Linked DNA regions of Bombyx mori. Each later gene encodes a partner of the first gene's protein in a complex. Links are inferred from orthologs where the notes say so. Each region holds a gene or a part of one and is shown in the gene's direction. Other genes may lie near its edges. The genes, in order: nucleoprotein TPR, nuclear pore complex protein Nup214, nuclear pore complex protein Nup85, nucleoporin Nup188, E3 SUMO-protein ligase RanBP2, PCI domain-containing protein 2 homolog and nuclear pore complex protein Nup205.

The links.
Region 2: nucleoprotein TPR (region 1) and nuclear pore complex protein Nup214 share a complex: the UniProt entries of both Drosophila melanogaster proteins name them as parts of the nuclear pore complex. The link is inferred for Bombyx mori from reciprocal best matches to the Drosophila melanogaster genes Mgtor and Nup214.
Region 3: nucleoprotein TPR (region 1) and nuclear pore complex protein Nup85 share a complex: the UniProt entries of both Drosophila melanogaster proteins name them as parts of the nuclear pore complex. The link is inferred for Bombyx mori from reciprocal best matches to the Drosophila melanogaster genes Mgtor and Nup75.
Region 4: nucleoprotein TPR (region 1) and nucleoporin Nup188 share a complex: the UniProt entries of both Drosophila melanogaster proteins name them as parts of the nuclear pore complex. The link is inferred for Bombyx mori from reciprocal best matches to the Drosophila melanogaster genes Mgtor and Nup188.
Region 5: nucleoprotein TPR (region 1) and E3 SUMO-protein ligase RanBP2 share a complex: the UniProt entries of both Drosophila melanogaster proteins name them as parts of the nuclear pore complex. The link is inferred for Bombyx mori from reciprocal best matches to the Drosophila melanogaster genes Mgtor and Nup358.
Region 6: nucleoprotein TPR (region 1) and PCI domain-containing protein 2 homolog share a complex: the UniProt entries of both Drosophila melanogaster proteins name them as parts of the nuclear pore complex. The link is inferred for Bombyx mori from reciprocal best matches to the Drosophila melanogaster genes Mgtor and PCID2.
Region 7: nucleoprotein TPR (region 1) and nuclear pore complex protein Nup205 share a complex: the UniProt entries of both Drosophila melanogaster proteins name them as parts of the nuclear pore complex. The link is inferred for Bombyx mori from reciprocal best matches to the Drosophila melanogaster genes Mgtor and Nup205.

The regions. Positions count from the first base shown.
Region 1 is NC_085117.1:12,306,443-12,310,780, forward strand, and holds part of nucleoprotein TPR, read left to right. Parts: coding exon 1-40; intron 41-489; coding exon 490-618; intron 619-1,120; coding exon 1,121-1,225; intron 1,226-2,216; coding exon 2,217-2,316; intron 2,317-2,872; coding exon 2,873-2,972; intron 2,973-4,338. UniProt on the Drosophila melanogaster protein: Component of the nuclear pore complex (NPC), a complex required for the trafficking across the nuclear envelope. Functions as a scaffolding element in the nuclear phase of the NPC.
Region 2 is NC_085123.1:8,936,884-8,941,221, reverse strand, and holds part of nuclear pore complex protein Nup214, read left to right. Parts: intron 1-2,974; coding exon 2,975-3,112; intron 3,113-3,416; coding exon 3,417-3,605; intron 3,606-3,686; coding exon 3,687-4,208; intron 4,209-4,286; coding exon 4,287-4,338. UniProt on the Drosophila melanogaster protein: Part of the nuclear pore complex. Serves as a docking site in the receptor-mediated import of substrates across the nuclear pore complex including emb, RanGAP and phosphorylated Mad. Protects mbo/Nup88 from proteasomal degradation at the nuclear pore.
Region 3 is NC_085123.1:528,282-533,108, reverse strand, and holds the start of nuclear pore complex protein Nup85, read left to right. Parts: upstream 1-1,480; 5' UTR 1,481-1,593; coding exon 1,594-1,668; intron 1,669-1,740; coding exon 1,741-2,433; intron 2,434-3,062; coding exon 3,063-3,185; intron 3,186-3,686; coding exon 3,687-3,902; intron 3,903-4,283; exon of another isoform or gene 4,284-4,655; intron 4,656-4,800; exon of another isoform or gene 4,801-4,827. UniProt on the Drosophila melanogaster protein: Component of the nuclear pore complex (NPC) that seems to be required for NPC assembly and maintenance. Required for nuclear import of phosphorylated Mad via importin msk.
Region 4 is NC_085111.1:4,864,744-4,869,081, reverse strand, and holds part of nucleoporin Nup188, read left to right. Parts: coding exon 1-173; intron 174-685; coding exon 686-978; intron 979-1,425; coding exon 1,426-1,725; intron 1,726-2,042; coding exon 2,043-3,452; intron 3,453-3,801; coding exon 3,802-3,920; intron 3,921-4,252; coding exon 4,253-4,338. UniProt on the Drosophila melanogaster protein: Component of the nuclear pore complex (NPC), a complex required for the trafficking across the nuclear envelope. Required for proper protein transport into the nucleus.
Region 5 is NC_085121.1:11,016,490-11,020,827, forward strand, and holds part of E3 SUMO-protein ligase RanBP2, read left to right. Parts: coding exon 1-4,338. UniProt on the Drosophila melanogaster protein: E3 SUMO-protein ligase. Component of the nuclear pore complex (NPC), a complex required for trafficking across the nuclear envelope.
Region 6 is NC_085115.1:3,909,918-3,914,783, reverse strand, and holds the start of PCI domain-containing protein 2 homolog, read left to right. Parts: upstream 1-1,900; 5' UTR 1,901-2,286; coding exon 2,287-2,502; intron 2,503-2,863; coding exon 2,864-3,032; intron 3,033-3,627; coding exon 3,628-4,436; 3' UTR 4,437-4,866. Other genes in the region: Nopp34 (nucleolar phosphoprotein), read right to left, coding at 1-130, 409-534, 609-689. UniProt on the Drosophila melanogaster protein: Required for the export of nuclear mRNAs and involved in mRNA trafficking in the cytoplasm.
Region 7 is NC_085121.1:1,006,315-1,011,147, forward strand, and holds the start of nuclear pore complex protein Nup205, read left to right. Parts: upstream 1-1,558; 5' UTR 1,559-1,766; coding exon 1,767-1,782; intron 1,783-2,130; coding exon 2,131-2,291; intron 2,292-2,911; coding exon 2,912-3,032; intron 3,033-3,831; coding exon 3,832-4,009; intron 4,010-4,833. UniProt on the Drosophila melanogaster protein: Plays a role in the nuclear pore complex (NPC) assembly and maintenance, but with limited role in NPC permeability. Required for specific nuclear import pathways such as Mad import.

The DNA.
Region 1 (4,338 bases):
TCAGCCCAGATCTACCGCCACAAAAAGAACAAGAGTCCAGGTACTTACATAATGTTCTCAGAAAGATTAATTAACTACGGGCTTTATAAATAAACTATTCTCGAAAAATAGATCAACAGGCGGTCGTAGGTAGACGACTAATGTCTTTGTTTTTTGCGTAATAAAAATCAGCGGATATAAATTAGCAGGCTAAGAAATAAAATGTCAATTGAAACTTCAATCTCATGTCTCATGGTGGGTGGCGGCATTCACGTTTTATGGGCTTCGGTTACCGTTCAATATCAAGCGAGCCGCCCATCATAGTGCTTGGCTTAGTAATAAAGTTTTATAGATTCTCATTTATTAGGATAGCAATGACGTTTCATCATCGGGAATGATCCTTAATAATACTTTACAACGACACATAGGCTTAGGAGATTAATTAAAGTTTCATATAAAAATCTTAACTGTCGAATTAAGGTAATGATAATTTATTAAATCTGAAAATAGGGATTCGAAAGGTCTGTAGAAGTGGAATATCAAGTACCAACTTCATCACGATGCGATCAAGACGACGAGGGTGTTATTGTAGTAGACTCTGAGGAAGACGACGAACGCTGCACTGGTACCATGTACAGAGTAAGCTAATAATTTAATGTTGTAGACTGATGCTATGAACTCTTAGCAATATCGGGGCCGTTTGGTGCACTAGATTTGTTTTGATAGCGTAGACGAACATACAAGCTCACGGGCGTCTAATGTTAAGCGATGAACGCTGGCACCCCTCGCTCCTAGAGACATCTAGTTAACATCTCAATAACATCATGATAACTACTTTCTTGCAATTAAAATATAGACATCTCCATAGACATCACAACATGAATGCCACCATCCATCTTGAGACATGAGGTTGAAATCTCAATTGTATTACCATAACTGAAATCAAACCTATCAAAACAGAACTGCTGAAACATTACTGCTTCGAAGGAATAATAGGCAGGTTACCCGTCCGGGCTTACAATATGGTCTACCATCAGTCGATGCCGGTTGGCGATCATAGTACTCTGTCATAATACACAAAGAGCTTTACACTGACCTATTTAGATGAGAGCATTATATAATCATATATTATTTTGTACAGGAAGGTGAAGAGGATGAAGAAGATGTGGAAGAGGAACAGGAAGTGGAAGGCGCAGACGACGAAGAGGAAGTCGAGGGCGATGACTCTGAGAATACAGCACAACAGGTAATTTTGTGTGTTGACCAGTTGTCTCTCTCGACAGTTAAGAACTTAATTAATGTCAGAGCATAGGTTCGAGACTCATCGCAGTGTACTGTTTCTAGCACAGAAGTGCTGAAGGAAGGCCTTGGGTTAATCCTTGTTGTTCAATGAAAAAGAATATAATTTTTTTTTGTCCAACTAACTTTTTAAATTATCATGAAACGTGTTAATTTTGTTAGGCATAATCATTTAACAATGTGCAAGATGCAATGTGCGGCGGCTGTTAGTTTGGTGTGGCATTTTGATTTATCGATATAGAACATTAATGTAAAAGTTCTATTTGATTATTATAATATATCTTTCACTTATAAACTCCAGTTGTGTACTTTACACTTTATGTCAATAACAATATAATCTTCGCATTTATAACCTAACAGGATAATAATCAAATCATAAAACTATTAGGAAATCATAATTCAATAGAGTAACGAAAAAATCGATAATACTTTTAGAACTGTTTGCAATGAGAAATATAATATCTGTAAAAAAACAAGTAATTATTCTAAATAAAAATAAAAATGTTAGAGAAATAAAAAAGAAACAAAGAGAAGAAAATTTCCACAAAACAATTTCGAACTTCACTTCTATTTGTAATGTTTGTTAGTATTTTATGTTGAAAATAAGCAGCCGCGTCCTCGTCGATAAACTGTGAGGAGACTGGCTCTTACAAATAAATATATTTGTTGTGCCCTGAAGTGCTAGGATTCGATAATGGTTTTTGAACAAAACATACTTTTTATTTTATTTCTTCATTATTGGTTATTTTTAAAGTGAGTTTCAAAGAGCAACACTTTTATTGCAGTATTAAACTGAGAAGGCTTGATGAATTAGAAGGAGCAGGAAATTACTTAGTGCATTAGTGTCAGTCACATCATGCTGTGAAAGTAAATATGAGTAATACTATTGCACATTAGTGGCAATACTTATATGGTTCACTGTAATTTTATTTGATCAGGATTCACCTGTGCAGTCCCCAGAGGCGGGCGCCGAGCCCACCCCCGCGCCGCCCGCGCCCCCGCAGCAACAGATCGAGGCCATCAGCTCTGGAACCGAACGTATGTACTCTTTGTGCTCACAACTCGACCACTGCATTCTTAACCTTTCAAAACAAGAAAGCGTTTCACCAACACAAAGGAATCTAAAACGGCCCCAACACAGATAAAGCTAAAACGGCCCCAACACCAAGGAAGCTAAAACAGGCCCAACACCTAGGAAGCTAAAACGGCCCCAACACCAAAGAAGCTAAAATGACTACTGCGGACATATTATGATCGAACAGTAACAGTGTTAATGGTATTGGCGACGATTGCGTTTCTATCGCATGTTACTGGTGGCGCGCCGTATTGTGCGTCCGCCACTCACTTGCCTATTTGTACCGCGAGTCATGCGTTACAGCTTAAAGAGTGGGGCAGCTGTATAGTTATGTATAATATAATTGGAAGTTTAATCTCATGTTTCAAGGTTCGTGGCGGTATTCAGATTATGATGTCTATAATCACCGGTAACCTCTGAATAAGATTAAGGCGTGCTACTTATCCTTACACAGGCGTGAGACGTTAGTAATCTATAAAAAACTGACCTGCCACAATGAAGTATTTTTTTTCCATATAGCAAGTGGCGCCTTGTCTTTAGGAGGCAACGGTGCAGATGACGGCGATGACAGTATAGTTCCTTCAACACCTACGTTGTACGTGCCACGTAGAAATGATGGGTTAGTCAAACCAGAAAGGAACTGGGAAAATTTTTCTATGTTTGTGGTAGTGATACTAAAATAAAATAATGTACTATATACTCAAGGATACCTAAAATGAGATAGAAACCCTTTCAGCTTCCGCATGATCTTGGAAGCTTGCAAATTATTAATAGGTCACAAAAATAAATACAAGTGGTAGTTACATGTGTCGTAATATCTAAAATATGTTAAATATATATGTTGAGTATTTCTCTAACATTTACTGCATTTCACGCCAACTACTTTCGCTATACTTTGTATACCTATATTTATAGACGTGTTCACGAAATACGCGTTTATTAAAGCGCCACCGTGGCTGCCAGACCATGACATCACAGCGTGGATAACGTTCCGCTATCCCGCTTGAAAAATGAACAGAAACCTTCAATTGTATCGTTGTAACGACTGTCCTATCCGTGGAAGTTATTCGGTAATACACATTAGGTACAGTACCCGGCCATAAATATTGCACATCGACCGTGGGAAAAGGACGGTTAATTTTTGCTTCGTAGAGCATCTGTCGCCACTTACCCTTTTTTTTCTACCTAAGCTGATAGCCTTGAGAGGCTATATTAGCGGAACCTTAACAAGTAGGTGAGCTCACGGGGCTTAAACCTGACGACGTTGCTAACATTAGCCCTAGCAAGAGCCGTGCTTCGCAGAATCTACCACCGGGTCGGAAACGCGACCCACTGAAAAGATCCGGCGAGAAACTCAGTGAGCTGTGTCTGAGGGTTAATTTACTCGTCGAGTTCTTCGTCGCAAGCGACGGGTTCGACAGGAAGGATGACCGGTGCTTGAGGTACCTAAAAGCACCGTTAGTGAATCGGGAGGATCCGAAATGACATGTTTGGGGCGACGTCGACTGCTTTCCATTCTGTCCGCAGGATCGGGAATGCCATTACCGAATTGACATTTAGTCTCCATAGATATCGGATCTTTAGTGTTTCGTCTCATACAAGTAACGCTATACAACAAAACAAAATTAGACGACTGTCTCCTTCTAAATATCGGTGTGTAATATTTATTGCCTGGTACTGTACATATTAGTTTTGAAATCATTATATCTGCTGTTGAATCTCAACCTCAGCGTGGTCGTATTTTTTGACAGAACTAGTTAATATGTACGCTAGAAGATTGCACAAAGTGGGAATGAGTTGCTCGCTCCGGGCATTTCAATATTGTAATAATTGTTATGTTATAATACTCACTGTAAAAATGAAAATTAAAAAAAAAAAAAAAAAATAAAAAAAAAATACACCCGCTGAGTTTCTTGCCAATTCTTCTCAGGACAGAGGCTAGTTTTTGTGAATTGGCGGTAGTTCTTTTGACGTTCAACAAGTAT
Region 2 (4,338 bases), on another chromosome or scaffold:
TCAGCAGCGTATGTGAGGCGGGAACGGACGTATGTCTTGTAAATGGCGAGTCTGGTCCTGGTCGGAAGCCCGGACGCAAACACCGGCCGCAACAAGAACATGGCCGCGCGAGCCTGACCGATGACTCGGTTGACGTGCGCGACCATGCTCAAAGAGCGGTCGATGTCGCATCCGAGATACCGGACCGTGGTCCTGAACTCGATATTCACACCTCGGAGGCTGAGTTTCTTTGGGACGACTCTGATACGGACCGGACCGTAGAGTAAGGCCGCGGTCTTTCCCACATTGACCGCGACTCTCCAACGGTCCAGCCACTGGGGCAGTAAATCCAACAGCCTCTGCATCCTCATAATGGCTGCAGAGGGGAAAGGAGAGGACGAGAAGTAGGCCGAGTCGTCAGCGAACAAGGCCAACTTCACGTCCTCCTCCCACGCCCGAAGGTGACCCTCCAGGGTGGGGATGTCGTTAGTGTAGAGGGCGTATAGAATAGGTGATAGGACACTACCCTGGGGAACCCCGGCCGTAATGGGACGCACGGAAGACCGTGCGCCCTCGACCGCGACAAAGAAGATTCTGCCCTCCAGATACGACCCGAGCAGTCGCACGTGAGCACGCCGAGCCGCGCCAAATACGGTGCTTTTATAGGCTTACTCGGTAACGGTATAGTGCGTTTAGCTAGTGGGGGTACATCTAACACTGATTATCGCCAAACGTCCGTGCACTGCGAGTGTAACGAGCAAAATGTGCGGAATTATCTAGGTACCCTCCTTATATAGGCTTGCCGAGTATTCGATGGCGATGTTTCGGAGGCTCCTTACAATATATATGAGCATTTCTCAAAATAAATGCACCACCAATAAAATAATGTACTAAAATAAAAATGTTAAACTAGAGCATTTTTTTTGTTTTCATTTGTAGATAGGTGTCTAAAGATTTTGAATATGAGGTTTGTTCTGAGGTTTAATATGTAATAAAGTAGAGAAATGTGTAGAAATATACCAAGGTGGAGAAATATTCTTATTTTGTTACCGTCTATCAATTACGTTAATTAAAACACCAAATCAATTTCGTCAACTTTTATGCATTTCAATAGGGTGACATAACCATCATTTTACGTGTCTATAAAAAACTGTTAACATTTACAGCAAAATGTTACTTATATAAGTTGTAATATATCCTTTACGTTACCATTTGCCCACAACTTTGTTTTAAAATCACAGTAAAGAAGTTTTGATGTTGTTTTATTTTTAAATACGTTCACAAATGAAATAACAATACACTTCTTTTGCTTTTTTAAAAAAAATTGCAGGTTTTAAGATAATAAATAAAAAATTTGAAAAGAAATACGTGTCCGCTTTTATGGGACAGTAACAAAAATGGAATATTGGTAACAAACTAGGATTTTATAAGGCTAGTTTTCGAAGTAGTTCAAATTATAATAAACTTTGACCCGTGTTAAAAATAATTATAATTATATTTATATATGTAGATTATAGTATGAACTGCTGTCAAAGGACATTTAAACATTTTTCGTTTAAAAAATACCCTATTCAAATATTTAGGAACATTTACGAGTAGGTAACAAAAATATCGTTTCAGTTCTTTTTTAATCATAATGAAAAGGAGGCCTAACGGTTTCTAATTCAGTAAAAACCTTTAATAGCAATAATCACATTCATCGGCTGGATAGTGATCGTATAAATCATAATCACATCTTTGGCACCAAAAAAATGGACAACGTAATAATATTTTTATTTCTACAGCGTTCATACTTGATACAAAATGCAGCGGATTATTAGACGAATCTGGAATAACATATCGGTGCCTTGATAAAATGTGTCGAAGAAAAAGGCCATGATAGGCCAAGGTGTAAACACAGGCACGCCACTTTTGTCTTTGTTTATTTTTTTCGTCTTCTGACATCTCACTTACTGATTTATATAAATAAATAATATAAAATAAATTCATAGTACAAATCTGTAATAGTACAACAAAAAAAACAAAGAAATTGACGCCGTTGTAATTGCAATAATTATTATAAAATTATTTTAAACAGAAAGTTAAATAATAATAATAATATATTATATATACTCAGCCTAATGATTTCCTATTTTGTTACTCTCTTTTCCATTTATACGTTACCACACAAAAGTAACAAAAAAAGAAGTAACAAATCAAGAACAACATGTCATTTTATTTGTAAACACATGTAACTCACACGATTACTCTTATTTCGATTTGATTAACGAAATCAAGAATGGGAGCTTTAATAGTAGGTTAAGTGAAATAACAATAAAATCTGCACTTATCTATGTTTTATGAGTAACAAAGGTGGAATTTTTTTTTTGACCGCTAGCTTAAATATTGACTTTTACCGTTCGTACCGGCACCAGAAAGAACTAGTCGAAATTAAAACAAGACGGATGCCAAGCCGGCTAATGCTACCATTATTCTAAAATATAACTGCATTAATCGATTATCATATTTCTTCAGAATTATGGTAACAAAAACTGGAATTTCTAGGTGGAACTTTTTACGGGACAAGTTAAAATCATTAATTAGAAATTTAATTATAAAGTAATGCTAAAAAGGATGTTTTAGGATGAATTGTGACTTATGGCTATAAATAAATAATATTTTTTATTTATACAATGCCCATGTCCATTCAACTAAAGATCGATGGTTTGGTAAGATATTGAGATTGGGACACTGCACTTTTCATACAACTGGTTGAAGCTGATTTATGATATATATTTTTAATGAAAAAATCTCATTGTATTTAAATCTGTTTTTTTCCTTTCTAATAAGTAGAGTAGTTATACTGCTTACACAATTTATAAAAAGTAGTAATGAACTAATATATTAGCCGGAACAAAATATTAAAAAAATGGGACAGAGGCTAAAGTCTATTGTGCAATAATTTTGAGAAATGCTCATATAATACAGAAATCTAATTTCCTTGTCTTATTTTCAGTGCCCCTTAAAGATGTTATTAAAGCTGAACCTAAAATGGAAACAAAACAATTTACCGAGACAGTAGCGCCGTTCTCGCCCATTCAGAGCAAACCCTCAGTACCGGGACTTCAAAACGTCACTAGAACATTGTTTACCGGTATGGTTGTATGATTGCATGTTTGTTGAATATTTCATACTTATGTGTGTACTAAATATCTTTAATCATACTGGTCATTCATCGCCTTCCCAACTCAATGTCAGTAATGCTTAGCCTAATCAATGTAAACAAGGATTGCAATTACTGTGTGTTATGAGGAGATTACTTAGAAAAATAATCAGTGCCCGTGTACTTATTTTCTATTTTTAGTCCACAATTTAGTTGTTTAAGCCTGAAAATTTGCAAAAATTTTTCAACAGATTATGTAAATAATGTATTAATAAAATAATAATAACAATTCCAGAACCGAAGCCCGAAGAACCCCGAGTTAGAATTCCTGTTGAATCTTTTAATTTTACTGGAGTTTGCTATGCACCACCCCCATTCTCATACACATCGCCTGTACCTAATATGTCTTCAAATCAAACGCCTAACAATGACTTGAAGCAATTCATGGGACAGAAAATATGCTCACCTATTTCTCCGTTCTCAAGTAAGGTTAAAACAAAAGATAAGACTTCGTACATATTTTTTTGTAATTATACCCAACTGATGCTTTTGTTGTAAAATTTAGATCAACCAGCTACTGCGGAATCGTTAGTGCCGGCCAATAAGTCGACAGCGAATCTTGGACTTAGTCAAAATAGCTTGTCTTCGAGTGCTCAAACACAGCCTGTGGTTTTTGAACCCAAACCTGTGACTGTCGCTTCTGTGAAATCCAGTGAAACCGGCGAACCTGAAGGTGCAGCAAAACCAGCCGACAGCAAGAAGGTTAATAAACCTATTACCAACCTGTTTGGTATGAAACCAACTACCCCATTTGCACCCACCATCTCTAATGTACCGGACGTTTTGAAAAGTCATCAAGAAGTACCGAATACAGAAGTGAGAGCCGTCGTGAAGCACAATGAAAACGCGATAGAGAAACCAAAAGAGAACATAGCGGCCAAAGTCAACGATGAATCTAAAGTCGTTCAAAAGATTGCCGAAAAAGAAAATGTTCCTAAAACGTTTGTCCCGCAAATAGTTAAACCGTCACCGCTGATACCGGTAGTTCAACCAGTTGCAACAAGTTCGAATGTACTAACAACGCAGAGTGAGTATAAGGAATTTAAAGAACATATTTAAACACAAAAAACGTTATTAATTTTTACTATTTTTTTTTTTATTACAGCCATTCCGATTAAGCTAGAAATGAAATCTGAAACAGCCAAGCAGCCTGATAC
Region 3 (4,827 bases), on another chromosome or scaffold:
AATTAAAACGTCGAGTTATATTATAACAGTTGACTTACTTTATAATTTTGTTGTAAAATAATATACCGTTTACAAAACAGTTTTTGACGAATTGAAACTGTCAAGATTTAATTCATGACAAAATCAACAATATGTCCTCCAACAGGTCATCCGGTCAGCGACATTACTTATTAAATAAAAATGCAAAGTCATCAAATGTTCACGTACCTTTATACCTTGTAAATACTGGAAGGATTTAATTTCAGGGTAAATATAAACTTAAAAACTTTTTTTATTATAGGGGATAAACGTTTCACAATGAATCACGAGCGTCAAACTACGAAAACAAACAAAAACGTCAACTGTCAATGCATACCTTTTTAAAATATGTTTACGGCTATCATACTCGACTTTTTAGTTATCTTGGGTTAAAGTTTGTCTAGCACTGTTGGCCGTATGTTCGTGTATTTAAAGTTTGTAAGAAACTTTTCGGCGGGGAGGCAAGGTAACTGTATGGATTATTTTATTTTGTTAATTTAGTGTTGCTTCTAGTTTAAACGTATAATCATGGTAGATTATCAATCGTTTAGCATCTGTGAAAGTGCAGAAGTTGAAACCCGAAGTACAAAAGTCGAACGCGAACGAAATTACATGTAGATTTCAGTAAATTTCATTATTGGGTATCACTGTTCTGTCTGTTTCTAAAGCATAACAGTTAGAAAGCGTTCCGCTATGAAAGGTGGACTACATAGTCTATACAATACAAATGAGTCTTTGATTTTATGTTTTGTGATCGGTGGCAATATTAACGTAGTGCTCGGTGCGACACGATAATCTATTTAATGTGACCGCTGCTTATTACATATCCGACTCAAAGGACGAGGCAACGTAAAATTACATCGCGAAACATGACCTATCCGATCCTTTCACTCACGGTTACTTTCTTCATCAATCACGTCAATTGCGACGAAGTTTTCGATGATCGAATTAACTCATAGACACAACCCACTGCGTTTCTGGCCGGATATTCTCAATGAGTCGTGATTCTGATCGGGTAATAGATTTTGCAGCGGCACTGTTCTTGCTAGGGCTAGTGTTAGCAAATTTTCTCAGGTTGAATTTCTGAGCTCATCTACTTGTTTGCGCGTAGCTGAAATAGCCCCTTAGACACCAGCGAATAGACAACGAATTATAAAAAATAACAGGTGCGTATTGCTCGTCAACTTATCTAAATCTAATAGGAAGGAATGAAACCAAATTGAATCATCTGAAATTGCAATGAGATGAGATGAGGTGACGTCGAAATAGAATTGTGTGCGTATTTTTGAAAAAGATACCGCTAAGCCATGTCCTGCGATTTTGTTTTATTTTCTCACACCTGCCCATATACACATGCTAAAAGATTACTAACCCACTATTATTACGCATTTGACCAAAAAGAATAATTGGCTGTATGGATTTTGTTTCCTTTGCTTTCACCTTGTTCTATGTGTGAAACAAATAAAAAAATCAGCGCATTTGAAACGGCGGTTTCTGATCAATTCTGTTTCGCATTCAAATGTTTACAAAATTTTATGTGAAATTGCATTGTGTACATGAAAGATTTAATACAAAATGAATATAACGACTTTTTCTAACAATAATGTTCGTGGCGATGATAGTAGTCCTATTATTCGAGCTAAAACATTTGTAAGTAATTAACATGATTCAACGAATATATAGGTTATGTTTGAGTTAAGTTATTTTTTTTGTTTCTTACAGAATATACCAGAAAAATGTTTCAATAAGGGCGTAGGATGTGCGTGGAGGAGTGGTAACAAGTTTTCTATCTACCCACGCAGTCAAACTGTTTCGAAAACACCAAAAAATGATGTCGAAAACAAAATACTCAATATACGTCACGAGATTGTATTATTTCATCCGATTTTACGAAAACTGGTAAACGAATCCAATGGTACATATTTATCTCTGCAGAAACTCGTCGATTCTTCAAAAAATAATGACAATCACGTGGAATTATTAAAACTTTCACGACAATATCGTTCTATTATAAGAGTGTGCATTGAAAACTTGCAAGAAGCCCTTAATGATGCGAAAGACGGCAGCGACATGATCAATTTACAATCATACATTACAATATTTTATTCTGTTGAATGTATTTGGCATTTATGTGAGATCCTTTACATAGATAAGATTCCCGGAGACATTGTGTTGCCATACCTCCTAGAATGGGTTCGATTCCATTTTCCGTGCCATGAGCAGACTGCAGCGCAGTTGCTGGAGGCCTGTGAGCGAGGTTCAGAAGACCACGATGACTATTGGGATACTGTGATTGGCATGGTTGTGCAAGGGCGAGTAGATGTCGCCCGAGCTCTACTGAAATTAAATTCATTATCAGAAACAAATGAATTTAAGCTTGTTGATAATTCATTACGGAGTATGCCTGTTTATAGTGTGAGTATAAAAATGAAATATAATTTCTAAAGTCAAATTATCATTTAAATTCCTCACAAATAAAGGGAACAATTGATTTTCATTAAGTATTCCACAGTATAAATTAATTAAGAGCAAAAATTATACTTTGGATAGTTAAGAGACAATTTATCTGAACAATTCCATCACCATTTAGAGATGTTTGGAACATGCTAATAAGATATTTTATATGAATGTTTTTTCTTTATGAATGAAAGATTACTGGTGGCCCGGAGGCCTTTCCAGTTTCACCAGGACAGGTGGGCGAGTAAAGGCTCAGCCATATATGAACTTTACTCTTGTCTTATTAGATTTTTATGTCTAAACTACTGAATGACTGTTCACATGATATAGGTTATAGTCCACACATGTCAAACTTCAGCTGGAAAACTATTTTGGGAAAAACAATTAACACCATCAAAATTTATAAATTTATGTTATTATTAATTTATGTAACCATTGTGTCAGATCAAAGACTTCATTGTGGTTATGAAAAGTTGTATATTATTAAACAAATTTAACCTGGGATATCCTATAGCTAAAAGTTCGATCTTACCTCACATCTTGCCATAAACACTTTACATCTACATAACATGGATATAAAATTACAGATATATGGTGGTATATCAACTGGGGAGTTTACAGTAACTTGGAAGCATTGGCAGGCTGAATGCAGAGCTAAGGTTACTAGCAGAGTGTTGGCATCACAACCAAAACTTGAACTTATTATGAGAGTAAGTAAAGATGTGTGAATCAATTAAGTAACTGCATAAACTAGAAACTGTTCTTGTCCTCAAAATTCTTAGATTAAAGTGTATACCACCATCATCATCATTTACTACATTCAAAAAATTTGTAAAATTACCTATTTATCTATGCTAATTTCCCCGTTCTAAGCCAAATCAAATAGGAACATGGCAGATGCAAGCATACCTGTTGAATAACGGTAATAATAACAGCATAATATACAGCAAATAAGAACATTTAATTAATTTAATCAGTTAATCTATAACTTCAAAATAAATGAGTTATGATTTGAATATTGTGAAATGAATTTTTTTCTTAATTGAAAATGTTTTCAAGAATTATTTTTTTATATTATTAAGTGGTTCATTAATTAACACTAAGTCTTAAAATAGGCTTTAGGAAGATGAAGTGAGCTAATTAGGCTTATTTTTTATTATACTAAAACATTGTGTAATTCGTTTACTAATTTATACAATTTTGTCCCACAGTTAATCATAGGAGAATATTCAGCATTTGAGTCAATACGTAGCACATACACATCGTGGTTTGATATGTTGGGAGGCTACGTAATGTTCACAGCACCTTGGTCTAGGACTCATGAGTTGTCTGCTGCAGCATCGGCCTGTGCTGGAATGGGATCTATGCCCTCAGGCTCTAGGCTGGATAGGACTTTACGGGCATTGTTGGAAGGTGATATGCATCAAGTAAGTGACAGATGCCAGTAAGCTGGTAAAAAGATTAGTTAAATTTTTAATTAATTGGTACAGCCTGGCCATATACAAAGCACTGCGCAACCGGTGCAACCATTTGTGCAGAGATGCTAAAAGACTTTACTTTCACAAATCACTTGAAAATCGCAGCCCTGCTCATACTTGGAGATTCCTTAAATCTGTCGGCATTGGCAAAACTCCGGTCTCTTCTGTCAAGGATACTGACTTGTGCGCCCTCAATAAGCATTTTTCTCTCCCTCCTGTGTCACTCAGTGATTCGTCAAAGACGGCCACGTTGCTTAAGATTTCAAGTCTATCCGTACCCCGGATCCCTATTTTTGACTTAAGTCCAGTCTCGGTTGCTGATGTCCGTAATTCCTTTTTCTCCATCTCATCCACGGCTGTTGGAATTGATAACGTATGCTCTAAAATGATTGCCCTAATTCTTCCAACGGTAGCACCTATACTTACCCATATTTTCAATTTTTCCTTTACCTCTAGCAACTTTCCTGATTCTTGGAAACAAGCCTACGTTGTTCCTATCCCAAAAAGCCCCAATCCTATTTTGCCATCTCAGTTCCGGCCTATATCTATACTTCCTTTTCTTTCCAAAGTCCTTGAGCACATTGTCCACCGTCAGCTGTCGTCTTTTCTCCTCTCCCACAATCTTCTTAGCTCCTTCCAATCTGGTTTTCGCAAGGGCCACAGCACGGTTACAGCTCTTCTAAAAGTGACCGATGACATTCGCTGGGCCATGGAAAACAAACAACTAACTTTATTAGTGTTGTTAGATTTCAGCAGCGCTTTTAACTCTGTTGACTTCGATGTTCTGCTCGAAATACTCAAATCAAACAATATCTCCTCATCTGCTATTAACTGGTTTGATAGTTACCTTCGGGGGCGCTCGCAATGTGTCCGT
Region 4 (4,338 bases), on another chromosome or scaffold:
CTACACGAACATACAGGACCGGCGCGCCATGTTGCAGCGCTGTATGCGCTTCCTGACCTTAGTGTTGCAAGACCAGAAAACAGATGGCAGCACCGCGCTGTTGAAACGGACCTGTGTATATAGTTTACTGCACACTGAAAACGCTTTGGTGCTGCTCAAGATTATTTCACTGGGTGAGTTTTTTTTTCTCCTTTTTTTTACCTAAGCTGATGGTCTAGAGAGACCATTCCAGCGTTAGCAAGGGCCGTGCTTCGCAGAATCTACCATCAGATCGGAAACGCGACCCACTGAGAAGATCCGACGAGAAACTCAGTGGAATGTGTCTGTAGGCTAATTTACTCGCCGAGCCCGTAGTCGCAAGCGACGGATTCGACGAAAACTATGACCAGTGCTTGGGGTACCTAAAAGCACCCTTAGTGGATCGGGAGGATCCGAGATGACGTGTTTTTTCCTATCCATTCACTGGTACCCTGTAAGGGTGTAAAGGATATTCCACGGGACCGCAGACAGGTAGTTGAGCTCATGGGCACAACCTGAGAGGGCTTGCTAACACTAGCCTTTGCAAGAGCAGGGCAGTATCTACCACCGGATCGGAATAAATTGAAATTTTAATTATTTTCATTTATTTTGTTACTATATGTAGAGAACAAAATATAAAAATATATGTTTTATTTTAATTTTTAAGGAAATGAACATTTAGAGAACATGATACAAAATGAAACGAACTGGTCATCCGGTACGGGTTCACAGTTTATATCGATAATACAGAGGTGCGTGGCGGTGCTCATGTTCGCTTTGCGTCTCAAGAGTCTCGTCACGGGATCCAACGAGATGACGCCGTTGGAACATCTCATATTCACTCAGAATAAGCAGAAGGATTCATTGAAAGTTGTACCCAAAGTGACAAGTTATATCAATCACGTGTTCAACAAAAGCTTGGCCGTGTTGTGCTGTAGGCTCTTGAAGATGTTTGCCGATGTGAGTATTATTATATTTATTTAAAATCCAAGCAAAAGTGAAGTTTCATTTTGATAAAAAGGACATACACATACATGCTCAAAACTCGAAGGTCGAACTAGGATACTGATTAAGCAGCGAGGGCTTAGATACAATGAAAAAATAATAATAATTTAATATTATAGTTTATTTGTAAACTGTAAAGTTTTGCCACACTCTTGTTATTATTATTTGATAATTTGGTTAGTAAACTAAATCACGGGTTCCCGGTTCGATTCTCAACATATAAGTATTCAAATTGAAGCTACGAGTGGTTTGGGGCTCAATAGGTTTTATCATTATCTTATGACATCAATATTATTTTATAATAGAAGGAATATAACCACTTAACACCAGGTGCGCTGTGAGCTCGTCCATCCATTTAACAAAAAAAAAAAAAATTAAATTGATGATTTTTTTTTTACACAGAGTTTCCAGATGTCCTTGTTCGCGTCGTTGGACATGACCGCGTACCAAGTGCGGGTGTTGTTCCTCGATCGACTTCGCGACGAGTACGAAACGACAGAACTAAAAGTGGCCATACTAGAGTTCGTGGCCACGTGCGTGGGCACGCAGCCCGGCCTCACTGAAGCGTTCTTCATGATGAACTACGAAAAAACGAATGACGATAAAAAACTCAAGGAAACCGATAAAGATAAGGAGGAAAACCTGTACAACTACGAAAGCATCCTCGGTTATATGGCGGAGTACTTGGGAACTGTGAAGGCTGTAAGTCATCTTCTTTGTCTCCACCTTATCCCACTAGGTGGGGTTGGTACAGCGAAATTCCAGTCTCTTCTATCAGCCGTCAAGTCAACACACACTCCTCTCTTTCATATCGTCATTCACACACTCCATCCATGTCTTTTTCGGTCGACCTCTTCCCTCTCTACCTGGCACTACCACTCTTACGCGTCACATGTCCATACCACGCTAACAGTCTGTAAAAGGTTATAAGTCATCGTTGGAAGTCATTTATCAGAGCAGCAAACAAACAGAAGTACCTACTTACAGATTGATTCATAATTGTGTAATTATTATTTCAGGATGCGAAACAACTTCAAAGTCCGCTCTTAGGGTGCATAATGGGTCTGTTCCATGCTCTATGGAAGAACAATATGCAGATTCTTGTGAAAAAATTACGCGAAACCGCAACATTTTGGGATTACATGACCAGTCCACTCTTCAGTGAGATACAGCCCGGCTTGAGAACTTATTCGCAAATATTCAACGTTATCGGCATAGAACTATTCGTCTCTCGGGGGAAAATAGAAAACGCTTTGAAACTGATGCTCGAGCAATTGTTTGATACCAACAAAACCCATTTGGACAAATGGATCAACCATATATTTGCGTTTAAAGGTAGAAGCGAAAATGAGCCCGTCGATAAAGTGCCGGTCTGGCTTGGATTGTTAACCTCTTGGAAAGATTTCACCACGATCTTTTGCAAAACCTTACCGATAAGTTTGAATATAGCGCACAAAGCGAAAATGGTCACCCCCTGCATGACCGCCTTGTTGAACGAACTCGAAGATCTGAAAGACGGAAGACTGGTCGTTATGTTGGCCGAACTGTACGTCATAATGTTGGCCAATTGGAGCCACGATTGCTTTGAAAACAGAAAAGCCAGTGCCAAACAAATCGATCGTTTATTAACCAACACTGCGATTATATACGAATGCCTCCACCCGAGGGCCAAAAAAGCCATCCTCTCCATCTGCACAGTCGCGATCAGCGGTCTCGATTATGAAATAAAGGCTAACAGTGCCACCGCGCAAAGCATTATTAGATCCGTGACCAATTTAAATAGCGTTGAGTTGGAGAAATTGTTTGACGATTTCAAGGATCTTCCTAAATCGGACACGAAGACCACCGAGCCCTCGACGTACGAGGACGTATCGCCGGTCGTTCTATCATTGGCGATGTTGGAACAGTGTCTGGAGTTGTACGACGACATGTTCTCGGGACTATCGCAGTGGTTCCAGTCGAGTCGATTCATAAACAAGCTCCTGTGCTGTTTGCAGATGTGTTTACAGAGCCGTCGCCATTACCAGACGTCCCTGGCGGCGTTACGGTGCCTAACTGTGTACTCCCGGGGACCTTTCTCTAAGGAGCTCTTGCTGAGCGATATCGACCAGTTTTTATGGATGCAACTGTTGCCGCCAAAATTCGACGGCGTAACTTGGAAGCCCGAGGAGTGGTGGAAAGTGTACTCGTACAGCTTAGACTTTATATCCATGATGGTCATGAAACACGGTCAGTTCTTTGCGAGTGACGCGATCACATTTGTCGGGGTCCACTTGGAACATTTGATAGAGGCCATAAACCTGCCACGACAGGTCGTCAGCATCGATTCGTTAAATGTATGCGCGTCCGCTTTGAATCTTATAGTTCAATTAGTGAAATACGAATCTAGATGGCGCTTACAGAACATGCATTCGCTTTTTGGTATTATGGTGAGTATTATTGATAAGATTATAAATTACTAGTTGTTATTCGTGGCTTCACGATCAATGAAAAGGTTGCCGGAGTCAGTTTCCTCACATAATTAAAAAAAAAACATGTCAGTCCGTCGCTTCGTTTCGACATGGAAGAAAGACCAATGAACATAAAAAAACACTTCCATATATACCTTTCAATCCATTTTTCAGGAATTGATTAACGTAAATGTTCTAGTTGAACAAAGGTTATTTTTGTAAAAAATTTAATCCGACCCAATATTTTTTTGTCAAGTGAAATGCATATACTACGTTAATGTGCATAAAGAATATCTTCATTACATAAATATATATTTATTTTGAACAGAGAAGTATAAGCGCGTGCCTGTACCAATGCGTGATCTACATGATCCGATCGCGACGTACCTCCGACGCCGCGCAGCCTCCGAGCGACGACACTCCGCCGACGCCGTCCTTATTGCCAAGGTAAAAAATTATAAACATTTATGTTATTTAAAATATTTTAAACGAAACCGAAAAATTAAATTTAAAATTCAAGTACAAAATTGATCACGTCAATGGTAAGACAAAAATTTCACAAAAGCCATTTACGAACTGATCAACAGATGCATCGAGTTTTTTTTTAAGTACCAACCCGAAGAATCCCAATGCCCTCGGAACATTTGCAAGGAAAATCCTTGCAGTTGGGGTGCCATGAAAAACGGGTCCCTCGCAGAGAACGGACTAAGTTACAACTTTTTACAAATGGGCCATAAGGTCGTCTGCCTACAACGACAACAAAAAAGCTTTTCTTTCAGGACCTTAGAAGTTCTCCACATGTCTACACTGTGCTTGCTATCGTTCAGTCCCAATCTGCTGTCACTACTCGCTGACCCCGGACTAG
Region 5 (4,338 bases), on another chromosome or scaffold:
GCTGCACCATTGATGTTAATAGCATGGCAAACATTACCACTTGATCCAAAAGTAAACTGGGTTAAACATGCCCCAGAAAAACAGTCAAATGCAGTTAGACGGTGGTTTTCTGAAGGAACATACAGGTGCTCTCAAGCAGGTCATTATCTTTTGTCAAATATTCAAGATAAGAATCAAAAATTAGATCAAATATCACATACACTTGTTGGAACAACTTGGAGGGAAACAATCTATGAAAAAATTTTTAATAAAAGAAGTCAATTGGAACTAATTAAATCTTCATATTTTGCATCAGACGCTTATAAACCTCCAGTTTTAAGACTACCTCGCAAAATTGAAGTTGAAGCATATGATGATGATGCTCAAAAAGTATTTGGAAATTCACTACACCATTATGTGTGGACACTTCTGAACTATAAAGATTACACTCAATTTCGATGCACTCTTTTTAATTTATCAACTGTAACAATGAGTAGCTGTGGGCCCGAAACTTTAAATAATCTAGATATTTATGCATTTCTATACTGTGCTACGTTAACTGCCCATCAACAAAAACTTACCAGGATGTCTTATGTTTCCACTGACAAACCAAATGTTTTACCTGCTCATATTACAGATTGCCTCTGTACACTTTCGCAAATGAAATGGTGGGATTGTGCTTATAAATTTTGTCAAAGTGAATTAGGTACTGAGCTTACAGATATTAGAGCCACATTGAGTCAAGGTATAGAGGTTGTTAGATGTGTTGATAACCATGGTCTTGATCCACATCTTCTTTGTTTACTGGGACAATTATTTAATAACAAAGCTAAATCTATTTCAAATTTCGAAGAGAAGAATCATTGGAAATTCCGTGCAGCATTATACTACTCTTCTTCAATTCCTCTGCTTGAAAAGTTGATTAACAAAATTTTTGTAAAAATACCAGAAAAGAGAATGTTTGCCTATATCAACAAGGAACATAACTCTAAAGAATTGAATTCTTTAATAGAAGAGAGCAAATTATATGTTGCATCTCATCATTTTGATGAAAATGAATATGACAAAGTTATTGACATTGCTTCATCTTTAAAATCTCCAGAAGCTTACTACCTTCTTGGTCAAACATATACTAAAATTGCTGTTTTAGAAAATGATAATTCTAAAGATTTTTCAGTTAATACTAATTCAAGCTTTTTTGTAATGATGAAAAAAGCTAAGCATTATTGTTACAAAGCCTTGGACAGGCTTAGACAAATTGAACCTGACAGAAACCACCCTTTGTATGTCAACATCCAGGATTTGATAGAAAACATTAAAACTTACTTAAACAGAGCAGATCCTGATGTATCAATAAATGACAATTTTAAGGATGACTCTGATTCATCTGTTGACCTTTTGCCAGTCCGAGCTACCGCACAACATACTCGTAATCTGAGTTCTACGCCTAAACCTAAACCTAACCTAAACAACTCAAATATGACAAATTATCGAACAGCGGTTGATTCTCAATTCATGGACACTTCAAGAATTGATCATCAATTTTTAGAAAGAATAGAGACAGAAATCAGAAACTTAAACAAGAGAGATGCTACAATTAATGATTTTATGCAACAAACAAGAATATGGTTTGATGAGAATCGCAACTTAGGAAATCAAATAACTAACACTATTCACTCTAATGTCCAAATAACTACGGATCAAATAAAACTTCTAAAAATTTCAGTAGATCATGTAAAGGATCAAATAGACCAGTGTAGAAATGAATGCAAAGATGTCGGTGAACTAAAAAAGCAAATTGCTGAATTAAAAATAGAAGTAAACAAGTTAAAAAAACCAGCAGAAGCAAGTGATGAGAGTGATTTATACAATACAGATAAAGAATGCAGAAATAATGAGAACACACCAGGCTATGCTACACAACTACCTTATAGTCCTGCTCAAGCTATGGCTTCATATAATCAGAGACTTGTTCCACCTTTTCCAGCACCACCTAATCCATACCATTTATATGGACAAAATTTTTATAACTTATACAATCACTACGCCCAAATAGCTCAAACGTCAACACCTGGAACTGCTCCTATATTTGAACATGCCAGGTCCCAAATGGCGCAATATCCAGGTGTATATCCAACACCAGAACAAATGTTTTTAGATATTGCACAACTTGTTCCACCAGCTGTACCAGTACCCCCAGTTCCGACTGTCCCAGTGCCTTCAGCTCCGACTATCCCAGTTGTACCAGCTACACCAATAACTACTGTTACAACAACAGCTAAATCAACAGTTCCGATTATTTCAACACAATCTTCAATATCCATCACATCTAAATTGGTAAATAAAACATCCAAAGAGACAGCTAAATCGTTACCTGTCAATGTTGTGATAACATCTTCTGATCCATTACCTACATGTACTACAGCACCACCTCCTATACTGAGTGTCACTATTCCTCCTAAACATATAAAAAGCTCCCCTCATAATTATCAAATTCCTATGCCATCTGTGGATGAAACAAAAACAGTGTCACCATCCGTTTTTAGTATTCCAAATTCAGGAATAACTGTGAGTTCATCGACAAATTGGAGTCAATCATCCATTTTTAAAACAACGCAGTCAATTCCTGTACTCAACAAGATGGGTGATATATCATTGATAAAGGATGCTGCTAAAACTGAAATTAATAATGCCAGTATTGATCCTTCACCAAATGCTAGTCTTAATAAATCGAGAACAATATCAGAACGTAGCAATACATCTATTGAAAGCTATGATCCATGTCCAGACTTCAAGCCGATAGTACCATTACCTGCCGAAATAAAAGTGAAAACCGGAGAAGAAGATGAATTTACAATTTTTTCTTCAAGGGCTAAATTGTTTAGGTTTGTAGACATGCAATGGAAAGAAAGGGGCCTCGGCGAAATTAAATTATTAAAACATAAAATTACTGGAAAAGTAAGAGTTTTGATGAGACGTGAACAAGTTCACAAGATTTGTGCTAATCATGTAATTACTTCTGAAATGGAAATTTCACCAATGAAAAATGAAACAAAGGCCTATTTTTGGGTCGCCAACGATTTTGCAGATGAAGCAGTGGTACTTGAAATGTTTTGCATACGTTTCAAGACTTCTGATATAGCACAGGAATTTTATAGAAATTTTGAAAAAGCACGCTTAGAAGCAGCTAATTCAAAGACTGTTGAAATCCACACTGACAAACATGATTTAAAAAATACTACCAAGGCATCTACCCCTAGTGACGTTTCTTCCAAATCTGAAGACCATCCTAAATCTACTCCTGGTAAATCTGTGCTTGGAGGATTCACTTTTAGTAGTACACCAAACATAAAACCAATTAAGGATGAAAAAGAAGTCTGTTCTAAACCAACTGAAACAACTGTAGGTAAATCCAACCCATTTACTGACTTTTCTTTGAAATCTATGTCAAGTTCACCATTTTCCAATTTGTCAACTGTGAATACGAATATATTTAGTAAAAATACTACACCTCCACAAGACGCTGCTAAAAAATTAAACATATCTGACACAGTAGAGGACTTTGAACCCACTGCAGAATTTAAACCAGTTGTACCTTTACCTACATTGATTGATCAAAAAACTGGAGAAGAAGACGAAAATGTGTTGTTTGAGAACCGTGCTAAACTCCTACGTTTCGATGCTTCAGACAAAGAATGGAAAGAGCGAGGACTAGGTAACATGAAGTTACTTATACACAAAGAAAATACCCAAAAAGTACGATTATTAATGAGACGAGAACAAACTTTGAAAGTATGTTGCAATCATTCAGTAACAAAATTTATGATATTCCAAAAAATGCAGAATATGGAGAAAGCTGTTACTTGGTGCGCTAAGGACTTTTCAGAAGGAGAACTGGTAACACAAACATTTTGTTTGCGTTTTAAAACTCCAGAGCAATGCGGAAAATTTATTGATACTGTAAACATGGCACAGAAAAATATGGAAGATGAATCAAAAACTTCCAAGGAAGGAAACAATGCAGCCACACAGAACAATCAAACTGGATTTGGAGATAAATTTAAGTCAAAACCAGGGTCTTGGTATTGTGAAACATGTTATACCAATAACTTGGAAAGTTTTGACAAATGTGCTTGTTGTGAACAACAGAAACCACAACTTGTTGTGAATAATAAAGAATTAGGTTTTGGAGACAAATTCAAAAAGCATCCAGGAACATGGGAGTGCCCGATGTGTTTAATTCGCAATGAAATTGGAGTAAAAAATTGCATTGCCTGTAAAACACTTAAAGATCCTTCAGAAACAAATAATAAACCAGAACCAGAAGTACAACCATTGCAATATTCTTATGGAATACCT
Region 6 (4,866 bases), on another chromosome or scaffold:
CAATTTGTGCGACAGCAGGATCATGAAACTCTACAAATGCATATCCTTTAGATCTGCCAGTGCGCCTTGATCTGATCACTCTACAGTTAGAAACACCTCCAAACTGACTGAAGTATTGTGTCATTTGATGCTGAAAAAAACCCACAAAAGATATGAGTCTAAATAATTGCAAATAATTTGTAAAGTATAGCTTTTTGGGCAGAAATAGGCAGGGTGGTTGTTACCTAACCGCGCCCACTCACAAGACCTACCACCAGTAAAAAATTAATAAATGACCTTTTGTACGTTTTTTTTATTGGTATTTACAACAAATCAAATTATTCCAGGCGGTCTATTAACAACAGGGACTCTTCTTCGACGGTGGGACGGTAGTTTGCCAATTAAAGCAAAAAAAGAATTGTAACCAACCTCATAAAATCCATGTGGGATATGTCCCAAATAAACAAGCCCTCTTACACGTTTCTTTTTTTTTATTTTCTCTTCTTGTACTTTAGGGGTGACGGGGGTCTGATCCTTCGCTTGCGTTTTTTTCTTCTGTGATATAAATAAGAATAAGTACACTGGTTTTTTATAACCTAGTCTCAAATATATAATGTTATTAATACTACCTTTATAGTTTTTTGCAATCCTTTAATGGATTTGATAAACTTTTTTTGTTTGCTAGAATCCAACGCAACGTTTTCTTCCATTTTATTTCGTAATTTAAAATGTGATTTAAGCAAAAACTTAGAAGTGTAAATAAAGAACAACAAAGTCTTCTTTTTTAATTTTTAGGGATTTTATGACCTGGTAAGTAGGACCTTTAAGTCAAGTCTTATTTTTATTTTTATGAAAAGTGGTATGAAATGAAGGAAGCTGATTAATATAAAACAATGCACGAAATGTCATAAAATGAAAATGAAAATGAAAACGAAGTGAGACGAGACGAGACGAGATGAAACGGGACGAACGAGCACTTTCACAGATACTAAATAGTTAATAAACCACCGTTATTACACATTTAAACCTGAAGAAACACTTAATAGACAAAAATTTAATAAAACAAATCTCACAACTTCACTCTTCGCATTCCCGCCAAAAAGTCCCAAGCCTTCTCGTGTATTAAGTGCACAGATTGATGTTCGTTTTAATATGTATCGTTTGCGTCAGATAGGTGTAGGCATTACATATTATCTATTTTTTAGCTGCAAATACGGTACATCAATTTAATATAAAAATAGATTCCCTTTGGCTATCTGGTAGAAATAACAAACTCTCGTGTAACAGACACAAAAAGCTCAAGACCTTTAGGCGGGATCGTGAGAAAAGGATTAATGTGACTTGTTACATTTTGTTCATTTACTTTATGCTTAAACGTATAAAACAGTGGTTCACTAGCTTTTTCGCACCTGTGTTAATGCTTAAGGCTATGTTCCGATGTACACTGGGAGCACTGTAAAATATAATGTAAAATTAGTATACTGCGAAGCCATTCCTTTAATAGCTGCACTGGTTACTTTTTTAAATGGAACACAGTACAGTATAAGGGTGAGACCGATATATTAGTATTCATTAAGATATTCGTAATACAGCTTGGGAATTTTTAAATGCATTACTTTTTAATGTTTGAACCTTCATTTCTTGATTCCTTGAAGTCAAATTCCTAGATACAATATACTATTTATATTATTAATAACTAATGTGTATTATCTATGATTATTAACTTATTTCACGAATACCGTATTAGGTTTAACTCGTTTACCCGTTTTATCAAAGTATATTAAGATATCAGGATATTCACGTATTAGTTAAGGTATTATAATATTACATAACGAATATATTTGTATATTGACAAATATCAGTATTAACCCATCGTTAGTACAGTATGATGCCTGCAATTTGTGTCTCAAACAAAAAAAAATGTATGGTTGCCGCTGTTATAATTCACTTCATCTAAAAAAATAAATAAACATTTGATTTCACTTAATTACATTCCATTTCACATAATAAGTATAGTCTTGGCCTTCCAAATGCTTTAGCGGTATAGACTTCTTTCCGTGTGCCTATCCAAGGAATGAAAAACTTATCCTTTCTCCAGTTGAGCTGTGGAAAGTGGAAATGACATATAAAGAAAACAAAATTTCAATGTTTTCATGAGACCGATTTTGCGCTAATAAACTCTGATTCTTTGATAAATATCAATCATGAAATGTCGATTGACGAAATTATAGGAAAAACTACATTCTTGTAATTTTGTATATTAAAATTAGTCATTCAAAGTTAAAAATCCAGTAATACCTAACCACAATGTCGATGATAACTGGCACTCTTAATCAATACATACAATGTGTGGAACGTATGTACAGAACGGGACAAGGTAACATATTGTCTAGACTGTTGTCTCTAAGAGATGAACATGTCTACAATAGGAATCTATTATCTAGCGATATTGCAACCCTTGTCACAGGAAATTGTGTTGCTCCATTAGATGAACTTGTAATTGCACACTTATCATGTCTTAAGGTGAGATATATGAATTTAATTCTGGTTTTAAATTGATAAATATAGATTAAAAAATAGTAAATGTACCATTATTAATCTGGCCGTTACTACAGCGAACATTACCTGTTAAGTGTATTTTAAATATATCGTTTTATTAGCTTCTCGTCAAATACTTTTACTGGTGGCAAGACCTCTTGAGTCAGTAGTAGTCAGAAGCAGTAATGCATTTCGGTCAGAGACTGAGACCTTAGAACTTATATTTCAATATGGGTGGCGCATTTACGTTGTAGATATCTATGGGCTCCAGTAACCACTTAACACCAGGTGGGCTGTAAGCTCATCCACCGATCTAAGCAATAAAAAAAAATGCTTTGCATTCCAGGCATTATATGCAAGTGATTACATTGAGGCATACGATCATCAGAGTATATGTGTGGCCTCTGTCGTAAAGCTATTACAGGGACAGAAAGAAGAGAACTGGTGCCTTCCGGTTATGTATGCTGCATGTTTAGATCTTAGACTTGTTGCACAGAAAGCAGAGGCATCTAGCCGTAAGTATGAATTTGCATACATCATTCAAGAGCTAAGATAAGATGGTAATAGTATCAAGTGATTAGGGCATTAAGAATAAGATGCCTGGAGTACTCATATTGAAATCTTCAAATGCCAAGGAAAATAATGTGTCATAGAAATGAGATCTTATAGTATTTATGATGGTCGGTTGTGTTATAAGTTTGCACAACTAGGTATGTATTACCAAACTGCTTGTTTCTGTACTAAAGCAATCATGTATTCTAGCTTGAAGAATAGTGCAGCAATTACACTATACAATTCAGCCTTAAACTTCATCACTTAAGGCAGACTTCACAAAGTAACGTCTACAGACTCTAGTAACCACTCATCATCTGGTGGCTGTTTAAGTGCAGGTTCCCTTCTACTCAAGATTTGTCTCCTTAGTCTTGTTTGAAGAATGACTAACCCTAAGTGCTCAGTATATTCACAGGTGGTAGGATTCAACTCTGTTATGGTGGTACAATGTCGAAAAAACGAAATTATCTCAAATACTTGCATGAGTTGTTGTCTTAGTCAATATTGTGTTAAATAATCTGTATTCTGTACAATTAATTTCATTTGTCAATATTTCAGCTCAAAATGGCAGTAAAATTATGGAAAAAGCAGCAGAGAGCTTATTAGCTTGCTTCAGAGTCTGTGCTGCTGACAACAGAGCTTCAGATGTGGATACCAAAAAGATAGGCATGTTGTGTCTTGTAAACCAACTTCTTAAAGTATATTTCAGGATAAACAAGCTCCACCTTTGCAAACCATTGATTAGAGCCATTGATTCTTCACCATTCAAAGATCAATTCCCACTGGCCCAACAAATTACATACAGATATTTTGTGGGTCGTAAAGCCATGTTTGACTCAGACTATCGTCTAGCTGATGAATACTTATCGTTTGCTTTTGAAAATTGTCACAGAAGAAGCATACGAAATAAAAGGCTCATTCTAACTTATTTAGTTCCTGTGAAAATGCTGTTGGGTTTCATGCCCGCAAAATATTTACTAGAGAAATATGATTTGCTACAATTCTGGGATCTAATATCAGCTGTGAAAAATGGAGATTTGCGTGGTATCGATATGGTTATGGAGGAACATGAAAAGTTCTTCATAACGGCTGGTATTTATTTGATTGTAGAAAAATTAAAGATTACAGCATACAGAAATTTGTTTAGGAAAGTATATTTAGCGGAGAATTCACATCAGATAGACATAGCCAGCTTCGAGGCAGCATTACAAATCATGGGACAGGAAGATGTTGATTCAGATGAAACTCAATGTATTGTTGCAAATCTCATATATGATGGAAAAATCAAAGGATACATCTCATACCAACACAAGAAAGTGGTTGTCAGTAAACAAAATGCTTTTCCTCCATTATCTAGTCTGTATTAAATTTATACCATTTAAATAATACCTAGGGGAATACACACTTAATTTTTTGATTGTTTTAATAAAAATTAAGATTCCATTAGCATAAAGGCTGATTAAGTGAAATGTGATGATGAGCAATTGTATATCTGACGCAATTTCACTATTTAAATACTTTCTTTTTGATTACATATAATATCCATAAAAATACACAAAACAGTTCAGTAGTCCAGTTTTTTTATTTTAGTAGCACTAATGTGTTTAGGGTTGTCATTAAATAAAATAGAAACTCACAACGGTAGGGGTGTCTTTACACCAAAATATGTCATTAATAAAACAAAATATTATACATATAATACATAACATGAGTCCAAACCTTGTCAGTGAATATGGTTAAGCACTATAACAATAATATCTATTAATTGAGTGTAATTAATGTGGATTTTAATAAAAG
Region 7 (4,833 bases), on another chromosome or scaffold:
GAAATATGTTTAATAAAGTTATCTCAATGTGGTTCTATATATTTTTTATTACGATGATGAGCTCTACGTAAATAAATATATTAAAACTTTCATGTAACATACAATAAAAGTTCCTTGTTCGCGCTTCATTTGCGTTTTCACTATTAGGGGATTTAAAAAAAATGCTAAAAATTTCTTTATTCGCGGACGCAAGGGCGGATCCAGGTTTGGCGCCGGGAGGGGGTCACATAGTCGTGGGCAAGTTAAGATAATAAATAAATCATGATGTTCTTCAATTAGTCCAAGTTAGTTCAAGTCCTGGAACTAGCTCAGGGGGGGGTCATGACCCCCCTCCTGGATACGCCGTTGCGCGGACGTAATCGATACATTGTTAAAAAGGAATTCCGATAAGTAGGTATCCAATCGAATATCATTTGTAAACGCGTCGTCAAATAGACTAATAAAAAGTTAAATAGATCTTATTACCACCAGGCCTAAAACAAAACGCTAAATTGATATGACATCGCCGCTGTATTGGTTCTGTCTTTGACAGGAGCCGTCTTCGCTGCCTGATAAATGAAATTTCACGATTTCTATGTTCGCGGCATATTTACGGAACATATACTCCGCGAATAAAGAGCTTTTACTGTACTCTGAGGTCGTCGTGGCCTAAAGGATAAGATTTCTGGTGTATTCGTATCTAGCGGTGCACTGGTGTTCGAATCCCGCAGACGGGTACCAATTTTTCTAATACAAATGTTCACGAATGACTTCCACAGTGAAGGAATAACATCGTGTAATAAAAATAAAACCCGCAAATTATTATAAAATTAGGACCTCTTGTGAGTCCGCACGGGTAGGTACCGCCACCCGCCACCCCGCCTATTTCTGCCATGAAGTTGTAATGCGTTTCGGTTTGAAGGGTGGGGCAGCCGTTGTAACTATACTTATACCTACTTGAGACCTTAGAAGTTAGAACTTATATCTCAAGGTGGGTGGCACATTTACGTTGCAAATGTCTATGGGCTCCAGTAACCACTTAACACCAGGGGTAGGTTTTTTTATTCCTACCTAAGCTGATAGCCTTGAGAGGCTATTTCAGCGGAACCTTAACTGGTAGGTGAGCTCACGGGGCTCAAACCTGACGACGTTGCTAACACGAACCCTAGCAAGAGCCGTGCTTCGCAGAATGTATTATCGGATCGGAAACGCGACTCACTGAGAAGATCCGGCGAGAAACTCAGTGGGCTGTGTCTGACGGTTAATTTACGTTTCGACGGGAACGGTGACGGGGGGGGGGGGGCGTGAGCTCGTCCACCCATTTAAGCAACATAAACATAACTGAGAAATAACCAACATTTTACTGAGTTTATTCCATATCTCTAATTCCATGGTCAGTCGGTTGGTGCCTGGTATGGGATGTTACTTGTGTGGATTTATGTTAAATTATTTTGATTTGTTATTTATTAATAAGGGATTCATAAATCGTAAAAAATAATATGTAAAAAAGATTAGGATATATGGTTTGATATCTTTACTTTTCTAGTTGGAAAAATAGAACTGCTACCACTACTCAACTTGACTTTGACAACAACTGTCAAAAAAAAAAGCAACCGCGCGCGTTTGTTTGTCGCTTCATTTATAGACATTCAAAAAATTTCAAGTTTCAAACGCCAAACTAATAGTATTTTAATAATAAATATAATTAATAAGATAGTCATATACCTTAAGTTTGCGTGAAATACTAATATTTATGTTTCAAGTCTGATGCCAACAGCTAAGTAATCATGGAAATCAACGAAGGTAAACAAAACTGATACCGACATATAACCTAAATTTGTTTTATTCTCTTTACTAAAAGTATAAATGTACAAATCTCCCTTTTTTCTTTCAAATGATCTTCTTAAACAATACTGCAGTCGTCGTTCTCTGCAGTAGAATTCCTATTTATATAGCGGAATTAAACAAAGTATGTTTAAAAAAATTCTCTATTTAAATCTATTAAAAAATTGTAAAAAACAATTAAAATGAATTTCATTGATTATCTTCAAACATATATCGGTTCACCGAGAAATAAGACCAGACAATTATTATTTCCTAACTGCGTTCATACGTTTAATTGAATTGTCTAAATGAACTACCACTTTTCAGGCAATACCACAGACGATCTGTGGACGCCCTACAAAGAGTTGGTGTCTGTAGTGGAGAGTTATCTTACACATGAGAGTGGTGGGGCCCTTTATGCTGTACACACCTTTGAGTCAGTTCTTAGAAGACACAAGCAAACATTTCTAGCTTTATTTAAGAATCCAGTGAGTGACATATTTTTTACTAATTTCTTTCATGATACTTCTGTTTCATTAAACCTAACAAAACTCGAGATGATCTTGAAGTGTATGTAGTATCAAGAAAAGCAATTAATTTGATTGTAAGAAGTCAAGTGTGCTTTTTATTATATTTTTATAATAATCTTACTTTTGTAAATATTCATAATAGGTTACATTGTTTATAAATTATTTTATGTCTATTGCAAATACAGTGGAGGCATTAATGTTATGATGTGAAGGGGTTCTGGTAACTACTTTACATTGGGTGGTCTGAGAACTCATTTGCCCTTATAAGTAATAAAATAAAGGTTCCCAATTGACCATTTGTAAAATTAAATGTGCAGTACCACTCTTTCATGCAATTGATTTAATTCCTTATCACCTTGATTTCACTATTCATTAAGTCATCATTAATCCACTCAAATGCTAAATGCCACAATGTAAACCGATAGGTATAAAATGATTATAAAATTTAGTTAATTAAACTAAATTAAATTTGTGTTTTCATCTCTGGTGGTTTCTTTTTGAAACCTTGAACTTGAAAATCAAAACCTAATGTTGTGTTATACTTTACTGTAAATTTGTATTTTTTTTATGTTGTTTAGCCAAAAAACCTGGCAAGCAGGGAGGAACTAAAGAGGGGTATGACTGAAGGTATCACACTGCCTAGCATAGGGAGGACCATCATATCTAAAGAACTTGTGGATGAAGCTATCATTATATCAGGTAATATTATGAATTTGAATTCATTAAAAGTTTAAGAAATACGAAGGAATCCTATATCTTTTGTGACTTCAAGACTCCAGCTTAAAAATTTTCACTCCAATATTTTGTTTGGTTTCTTATAGTAAAATTTGTGTATTTGAAGTTTTTTTGCTCAACTTTTTGATACATCGGTAATCTTGAATTGATCCAGAAAAACCTGAAGTCAGTTTCAGAAGAGTACTTCGCAAGGCTATTTGTCAAGATAATCGCGTTATCAATACTGCCGCTGACTACTCCCCAACTCCTGCTCACCAGGAGCCAGTCACTGTAGACGCCCTAGACACGTCCATACACATTAGATCCAATAACTCTTGCATTAGATGCCTTAGCTTGCTAGGAGCATTCTTAGAGACACTGGTGACCATACTCACACGGGCACCTAACCCATACGTCAGCTTAGTGAGTTTCTTGCCGGATCTTGTTAGCGATTCCAATCTGGTAGTAGATTCATTTGCAAAGCAGCTGCCTTTGAGTTGTTAGGTCTCCGCCAGAGGCGCTCAGGCAGCTGTTAGCAAATAAATCCCTTCCTTCCTGGCTGAGCCTTTGCTCGCGCACCTGTCTTGGTGAAACAGGAAAAGCCTACAGGCCAGTTCATTCATAAAAACAACATTGTAAGTATGTGTAAATCCTGCATGGTTCACATCTCTGTAACTTAAATCTTTTCATTGTATTTTAATGTTTCACTTAATGTTTTAAAGAACCAAAATTAGTTCTGTGAATTCATTATAATATAGTCCATAAAATATATTTTTGTCTACAGATATGTTCAATGTGAATGAATACCTTGCATTAGAGCTGCTTCATACAGCACAGCGACAGTTACCACGTCACCCTGGTCTGCCACGAGGCCTTGTGGCCGTTTTGCTGTACTATGATGGACGTAGAGCACTTGTGCAGGCATTAAAAGAACTATGCATGGCCAGAGAAGGTGTTTGTTGGTGAGTGCAAATTTTTGTTTTAAATTAGTTCATTTTACAAATACATTATGTGCAGAAAAAGGTTGTAAATTGAAAAATAAGAATGATTGTGTGATGTTAACATTGTCTAGTGAGGGTTTACTAACAGCAGTACTAGTCAGCATTTACATCTCTCAGTCTCATTGGTGGTATGGTGTTTTTTTTTATTGCTTAGATGGGTGGATGAGCTCACAGCCCACCTGGTGTTAAAGGTCTCAAGTATAGTTACGACGGCTGCCCCACCCTTCAAACCGAAACGCATTACTGCTCTACGGCAGAAATAGGCAGAGTGCTGGTATTTGCCCACGCAGACTCGCAAGAGGTGCTACCACCAGTAATTACGCAAATTATAATTTTGCGGGTTTGATTTTTATTACACAATGTTATTCCTTCACTGTGGAAGTCAATTGTGAACATTTTTTGAGTGCGTATTTCATTATAAAAATTGGTACCCGCCTGTGGGATTCGAACACCAGTGCATCGCTTAATATGAATGCACCGGACGTCTTATCCTTTAGGCCACGACGACTTTTATCGGTAAGTCTCATGAACTTGTATGGATAAGTATGGCTGACCTGCCATGCAGAAGTAATACTTTTTAGTTTCAAGGGTGAGGCAGCTATTGTACTATAAAACAGACTTTTGTGTCTTAAAGTTCAAAGTTGCAATACACTTGAAACTTCGACTTCATGTCTCTGGAGGTGGGTGGGGGCATTTACGTTGTTGATGTCTATGGGTTCCGGTAATCACTTAACACCAGGTGGGCCGACAGTTCGTCCACTTATCTGAGCAATAAAAATAAAAAA